2 linked regions of the Cricetulus griseus genome follow. The protein of the gene in region 1 purifies or fractionates together with the protein of each later gene. This does not show direct contact. Links are inferred from orthologs where the notes say so. Each region holds a gene or a part of one and is shown in the gene's direction. Other genes may lie near its edges.

What was found. The genes of interacting proteins can lie anywhere in the genome.
Region 2: the proteins of Tmem63b (region 1) and Cxcr4 purify together in Homo sapiens (co-immunoprecipitation; 3 studies listed by BioGRID and IntAct, with this or other methods). This does not show direct contact. The link is inferred for Cricetulus griseus from reciprocal best matches to the Homo sapiens genes TMEM63B and CXCR4.

What each region holds. Positions count from the first base shown.
Region 1 is NW_023276807.1:31,988,961-31,992,460, reverse strand, and holds part of Tmem63b (CSC1-like protein 2), read left to right. Parts: intron 1-1,160; coding exon 1,161-1,198; intron 1,199-2,069; coding exon 2,070-2,212; intron 2,213-2,300; coding exon 2,301-2,352; intron 2,353-2,478; coding exon 2,479-2,587; intron 2,588-3,165; coding exon 3,166-3,236; intron 3,237-3,500. UniProt on the Homo sapiens protein: Mechanosensitive cation channel with low conductance and high activation threshold. Osmosensitive cation channel preferentially activated by hypotonic stress.
Region 2 is NC_048598.1:60,235,089-60,239,302, forward strand, and holds the start of Cxcr4 (C-X-C chemokine receptor type 4), read left to right. Parts: upstream 1-1,414; coding exon 1,415-1,435; intron 1,436-3,611; coding exon 3,612-4,214.

The sequences.
Region 1 (3,500 bases):
TTAATTACATAATTAATTTGTACAACTAATTTATTATACAAATTAATTCATTTGTATAATTCATTTGTATAAGTTTATGGGTGTTTTTACCACTATGTACATTGTATATATGGAGGTCAGAGGACAGCTTCTGGAAATTGGCTCTCCCCTTCGACCATGTAGGTCCTTAGGATTGAACTCAGGTCATCAGGTTTGGCAGCAAGCTTCTTTACCTTCTGAGTCATTTTGCCAGCCTGCAAACTCTTCTTAGTAACTAAAGATCAGGGGATCCCACTACCTTTCTTGAACCCCAAAGTATACGCAGTCCCATTCTGGCCCACAGAACTCTAAGGTTTGCAGTTATTTACACTTCCGGACCTGGGGTCCAACAGTAAGCTATTGGGCCTTTCTTTCTTAAGGCAGATCTTCCTAGCTCTTTGTGGGGTTTTTGGTGTGTGTGTGTGTGTGTGTGTGTGTGTGTGTGTGTGTGTGTGGTGTTCATGAGTGCACAGGTGTGTTTGCACATCTGTACAGGTACATGGGGAAGCTAACAGTCAATCTTGACCATTGTTCCTTGGGTACTGTCAACCTTGGTTTATTTTTTCTTTTTTTTTGGGGGGGGGGCACTTGCATTTACTTATCCACCATGCACACACACATGTACACACACATACACATACTAAGCTATGTGTATGGAGGTCAGAACACAGCTTGAAGAAGTCAGTTCTCTCCTTCTACCTTGTGAGGTTCCAGAGAAGCTATCTTCCCAGGCCCACCTGTTTTTTTCTGAGATATGGTCTCTAACTTGGGACCTAGGGCTCCCTATTAGGCCAACCTGTCTGGCCAATGAACCTGTCTGTGCCTCCCCAGTGCTGGGAGTGTGTACCACCACACCCTGCGGGTCCAGGGATTGAACCCAGATCCTTGTGCTTGCACGGCGAGCACTTTACTGACTGATCTGTCTCCCTCACCCCCACTTAAATATTTCCTTTTTGCAGTACTAGAGATAGGAACCAGGGCCTCACTCATACCAGGCAGACTATACCAACTTATGTCCTATGTGGATGGGTTTTTCTTCAGGTGCAGGGGTGGGTGTAGGAGCTGTACCCTGGGTGGAGCTTAAGGGAAGGCAAGTGGGTTGATAGGCTGGGATCTCCAGTGTGTTCCCTCTGTTCCCCCAGGGCTTCTGTTCCTGGCTGACAGCCATCTTCAGGATAAAGTAAGTGAATGGTCTGCACACTCTAAAGAGAAACAGAAAGAAACCTCAGAATCTGTCATCTCCTTCCAAATCCAAAGCCAGCAGCTTTGAGGCCTTAGTGCTCCTAGCCATCGCAGTACCCTGCACCCCACTCCAAGAGGCCAGGCAATGGGGACCCAGCCTGGGCTGACCCTCAAATGCTTATTCTGACCCACCATCTCCTCTGTGACACTCTGCACGAGGTCAGCCATGCCCTGATCTACCAGCCCTGGCCACAGGTTGAGAGCAGGGGCTGGAGCCCCCATCTCAACTTCTCTGCAGCCAGCGGGTGGGGGCAGCAGGCAGGCTGGAAGCAGCCAGCCAGCCACGCAGGCAGGAGCCAGCAGCCAGCAAGCAGGCAGAACTCAGGACATCCAGCCAGAGTCCACAGGCAGGCAGTGAGCAGTGAGAAAGGCAGGAAACTGGGACAGGTCAGCACTGGGGCCCTCACCATGCTCTGGACCCCTCCCCTAGTGTGGCCCTTGGCCATAGGAGCTCAGCTCTGGTACCCTTAAGGCCCTAGAAGGAGCTGCTGCTGCCCACTTCCCAGCCTCCCTCCCTTTCCATCCCTCCTTGCCCTCCTCCCCCCCTCCCTCTTCTTGTCTTTGCCTCTCCATTCCTAGCCTTGCTTTCTCCCTCTCTTGCTTCACCTTTCCTAGCCACTTCCAGGCTCTGTGCATTCCTCCTCCTCTCCTTCCTTCCCTTCCAGGAAATCGGGATGAGAAGTTCACCTCAACCCCATTGCTGCCCCATCAGCAGGGGTGGCCAGGGTGGAGCGGGAGGGGGTGAGCAGGTTCCAGCCTTCCCTTGCTGCTCCTCACGGCATCTTCTGTGTGCCTCCCGTGGCCTACAGGGACGATGAGATCCGGGACAAGTGTGGCGGCGACGCGGTGCACTACCTGTCCTTCCAGAGGCACATCATCGGGCTGCTGGTTGTCGTGAGCGTCCTCTCTGTAGGCATCGTGTTGCCTGTCAACTTCTCAGGGGACCTGCTAGGTCAGTGAGGGCCAGGTGGCTGGAGTGGAAGGGGACAGAGGGCGTCTGGCTGACCTACCGCCATCCCCTTCTCCTTCCCACCTTCCAGAGAACAATGCCTACAGCTTCGGGAGAACCACCATTGCCAACTTGAAATCAGGGTGAGGCCAGGGAAGTAGCTCTGCAGTGGGTGGGGTCTAGGGCGGAAGTGAGAGGTGGGAGGCTTCAGAGATGGGTGGACACGGCAGAGGTGGACCCTGCTGACCCCGTGTGACCGCCCCCCCCAGGAATAATCTCCTCTGGCTGCACACCTCCTTTGCTTTCCTGTACCTGCTGCTCACAGTCTACAGCATGCGGAGACACACCTCTAAGATGCGCTACAAGGAAGATGACCTGGTGAGTAAGGGCAGCCCGCCTCGGCTGCCGGGGTCCCTCCTCCACATGGAGTAAGGGCCTCCCTCCAGGGGCCCTCGGAAGGCAATGCCTAGGCCGCTCCATGCTGGTGAGGAAGGGCAGCCCGCCTCGGCTGCCTGGGGTCCCTCCTCCACATGGAGTAAGGGCCTCCCTCCAGGGGCCCTCTGAAGGCAATGCCTAGGCCGCCCCATGCTGAGCCTGACCCTTGGGAAATACCATGGCTGATAGTGCTGTCAGATAGTTGTACTGTCGTCTTGCTTGATATGGGTGGTGGGAATATTCCTTCACCTTCTGCAGCTACTTACCCAGCCTGGACCGTGTGTTTGTTCTTTGCTAGCCACTGTGCTGGTTCCTCAGGGATGTAAGTGTCCATCCACCTGATAACACCTGTAACCCCCTGTAACAGAACAAGGCACCTCATGGCTCCTCCATCAGGCTTCTATTACACATACTCCACTGAGACCTGACAGATTCCCACCAAACCCAAACCCCCTCCCTGCGTCCTGTGGCTCTCCTGGAGGCCACCTGCAGGGAGACAGGCCTGCTGTCCTCCTCCACAGGTCAAGCGGACTCTCTTCATCAATGGAATCTCCAAATATGCAGAGTCAGAAAAAATCAAGAAGCATTTTGAGTGAGTAAGCAGCCCATCTCCCCTCAGACATGTAGGCCCTTGCCCACCCATTAGCCCCAAGAGCATCTTTACACCCTTGGACTCTCCAGCAGTCTGCAGCCCAGGCTGAGTGGAACAGAGCGGGGGAGACCTCACATCCCGAGCTGGGGCTGGTCTCCCACTTTCCTGAACGACAACAGCCCCTTCAGAACTGGACAGGGCTGAGGGGTCACTCGGGGTCATCCATGACCTTGGGTTTGATTTCCAGCCCTTTGAGAGAAACAG
Region 2 (4,214 bases), on another chromosome or scaffold:
ACATACCGAGCCAGAGGCCGGCCTCGTCTACATAAAACTGTCTCAAAACAAAAACGGGGATGGGAAGAACTGGGATTGGAATAGAGTTCAAGTGCTCAGTCTGGGCATGCCTTCTTTTTAGGACTATCCCAGGATGAGAGTGTATCTGGTTTGCATGGCAACCCAGGCTCCTGCAGCAGGATGTCTCTTCATCGCCCTCAAGCCTCCCCCACCCCTACCCCCCTCGGCAATCTGGTTGGTTCTGGACCCGCCTTTCTCTTGCTCCCCGCCCCACCCACTCTCGGCGCCGGCCCGAACTGGCGCGAGTCTGGGAAGTTGTCTGGGCGCCCACTCTATCCCCAAGTCTGTCTGAGACTCTCTAACCATCCACCCCCTCAACCCCACCCCCCACCCCTGCCTAACCAGCTCTTCATTAAGACTTCCCATCCGTGCTCAACTTAGTGTTCTACGTGGGAGACACGGGTTAAGCGAAAAGGGAAAGTCCTGGGCTCAGGCCGGGCTTGCAGTCCCTGGCTGCTCCATTTGGTCCCCCAGAGCTCATGGAGCGCCCGCCTGCCGCGAGGAGATCTCGGCTGTATCCCCCGCTTCTAGAACAGCTCGTGGCCCGAAGCTGGGACTCTGTAATTACCTGTTAATTAGATGCATCCCTCTTTGCTTATGAAATGAAAATGAAGCAGTGCTTCTGTGTAGGTTTCTTGGGATCTGTTACACATAGTGCTCGTCGTTAAGTTCTACTTTATAATAAAACATTTTAATCATTTTTTTAAAAGTTTCTTCACGAATTGGTTGCCTCTGTTGTGACTTTTTTCCTGGGAGTATAGCTGTACTTCTCAAAAGGTCCGTAAGTGTTTTCTGCTTATCAACATCTAATCCTGATGTCATTAATATGAATGTGCAGTAACACATACTTGGCGACCAGAAAAGCTTGGATAGTAGTAGCTCCTGACAGCTCAGGGAATGGAGTCAGACCCTTACTGAGCTTCCAACATTGCCGCCTACTGGTTAGGTAGGCGCCAAGTCACTCCCGCCACCAAGTCACTCTAGAAAACTCTTAGGTCTAGAATTCTATCCACTTGAGCAAGGATGGATGCGCGACCCACAGAAACTCCCTGGCTGGCACCCTGCTTTCCCCAAGTTCGAGAACTTTATCCGGCCAGGCTCTGGACCCACGAGGTGACCTACAAGCCGAACAGCAGCCGCTCTGGTACTTCGGTGTCCCAGAGCCCTGAGCCCCGCCCCCGCCAGGCTCCTCCGCCCCTTCCGAGCTGCGCATGCGCTGCACCGCGAGCGTGTTTTTATAAAAGTCCAGTTCGGGCCAGAAACTTCAATTTGTTGCCTGGTGCAGCAGGTAGCAGAGACCCTCCGAGGCGTTCGGTGCTCCGGTAGCCACCACGGCTGGAGAGCGAGTGTTGCCATGGAAGGCATCAGTGTAAGTGTAAGTCCAGTTGCATCCGACTTTGTAGTAAGCGTGCAAAGTTAGAGCGCAGCCCCTGTAAGAACGGGTACAAGCGACTAGAACCTTGGGGATGTCGGGGTCACGAAGAAGGGTCGCGGGAACTATTTTTGTGTGTGTGTGTGTGTGTGAGCATGGCTATAGGGGGAGGAAGATAAAAAATATTTATCCCAGTAAATAGCGGGGGGGAGGTTCGGATGCAGCTTTCCTGAAGCTGCTCCTGTTTCCCGCTTGAGTTCCGTGGCGCGCGCCGGCTTGCACGATGTTTGAAAACGTCCTACTTTTTGTGCACACGGACGGTGAAGGCTCGCGCTCTGTCCCAGTACTCAAACATGGTCTGGTCCTCCTGGGAACAGGAGTTTCTTGGAGTTTCTTACATTGGGTGAATGTAAAAACTGGAGTCGGTACGTGTAGGCAGAGTTCCCAGGTCGACACTACATCCTGGGTTAGCTTCGAACAGAAGAAGCATCTTGGAGCGGTTCTTGGGATTAGGAGTGTGGTTCCAAGGAGCGCCAGTCTCTGGCGGGAAACGCGAACTCGCCTATCGCGTCGCTTGCCTAGCGGGGGTCCAAACCTCGGCAGCCGCGGGGAGGTGACCGAACGCGGCCGCTTTGGGGTGGAGTGGCAGCGCTTTGCGGGGCATCCGAACCGCCGCTTCTCCGCGGTGGCAAACGAGCCTCCTGAGGTCTGGGTTGCCTTTAGGACCGTTCACGAGAAAGGGGCATAAACCTGCACCTTGCAGCTGCCGGCCGGCCGGGAGGTGTGCCGGGCGGGATGGTGGTTGGGGACAAGAGGGCGTGTTGGAACCGCACCTGGGTTGTGCCTGGTCGACGCAGGGATGAACAGGTGCAAGCCTGGAGTCGGTTTGACTGAGCCCCAGTGCAGAGTTTAACCGTCGGTGGTTTCCTGAGTCTTTTGAAACCCCCTCGCTTAGGGAGGGTTTTGTTGTGTGTGTGAATGTTTTTTTTTTTTTTTTTTTTTTTTTTTCGTTTCCTCCCGCGGCGCGCAATTCAAAGGCGCTCGCACTGGAGCCGCCCAATCTGTCGCCCGCACCCGGAGGGACGATCCTGGCGCGCAGCCAGGAGGAACCCCTGGAACCGCTGCCGGTTGGCCTTAAGCCTGGGTGTAGTGGGCCACAGCGCCAACCCCTAGGTGGGTGACTCGGACCTCCGGGTGTGCATGGTTTCGACCCTTCCAGCTGCCTACCTCGGACTCCAGTAGCTAGCTGGGTCCGCTGCAGGGTGGGAAAGGACCGGGAGAGTGAGGAAGTGAAACTTGGGGTGAAAACCACGGGGTGCAGACCCCGTGACTTTCCCCACCCAGGATAATGTGACTCTAACGTCCCAAATACACCCAGTGATAAACATGGGGGTGGCAAGAGAGACCTACCTTCCAGAGAAGCGCCCGGAGGTGGGGTGAGGTGGAGTAGAGGAGTGCTGTTTGCTCACTTTTAGCACCCCCATAACCCTAAATCCCCAAAGATCCCCAAAGACTTTGGCATTATTCCTCTTTCTTCACTACGTGTGACTTGAAATGCAGTGGCTTGTGTTTAGACAGATGTGAGGAAAACAAGGTTTTGCCCCTAAAAAACGTTGTCTTTGGGGGGAACCCCACCATCATGTTCCGTTTTCCTCTCTTCTTTCCTTTGCCTAATCTTCGTACAAAAACTTAATCCCATCTCCTCCTCCAACGCAGATTTAGCTTCACACCTCTCGCTCCCACCCTACAGCGCCTGGGAGTGACTTCTTTTGTGTGACCGGAGTTTTTTTTGTTTTGTTTTGGTTGGTTTGGGGTTTTACTTTTTTTTTCCCCCTTGCCTCTCGTGGGCGGGCAGGAGAGTTATCCAAGACTAGGCTGTGAAACCCTTAGAATCTCAACGTCCTTTTGTTCTTAACAAAGACTCCTAATTGGTTCCACTAAGGGGAGGATAAAGAAGTGACTGTGAGGGAAGATGGAGAAAACCATCGGTTGCAGGATTTTGTATTCTCTCTGGACCTAAGCCAGCCTTTTGGAGCTTCCTGGAAAAGGCTTGGTTAAAACCTGCAATAAACGGCTAGGTGGTTTTTTGTTTGTTTTGTTTTGGCACCAGAAAACTTAAAACTTGGGAAAGGCTTGTTAACCTTGTAAGTGATGTGCATGTCCCTGTTTTCTTTTGCAGATATACACTGCAGATAACTATTCTGAAGACATAGGTTCAGGAGACTATGACTCCAACAAGGAACCCTGCTTCCGGGATGAAAACGCCCATTTCAATCGGATCTTCCTGCCCACCATCTTCTTTATCATCTTCTTGACTGGCATAGTGGGCAATGGCTTGGTGATCCTGGTCATGGGTTACCAGAAGAAACTAAGAAGCATGACTGACAAGTACAGGCTGCACCTGTCTGTGGCTGATCTCCTCTTTGTCATCACGCTTCCCTTCTGGGCCGTTGATGCCATGGCTGACTGGTACTTTGGGAAATTTTTATGTAAGGCTGTCCATGTCATCTACACTGTCAACCTCTACAGCAGTGTCCTCATCCTGGCCTTCATCAGCCTGGACCGGTACCTTGCCATTGTCCATGCCACCAACAGTCAGAGGCCAAGGAAGCTGCTGGCTGAAAAGGCAGTCTACGTGGGTGTCTGGATCCCTGCTCTTCTACTGACTATACCTGATTTCATCTTTGTTGACGTCAGCCAGGGAGACGGCAGGTACATCTGTGACCGCCATTACCCTGACAGCCTGTGGTTAGTGGTGTTCCAGTTCCAGCACATTGTGGTG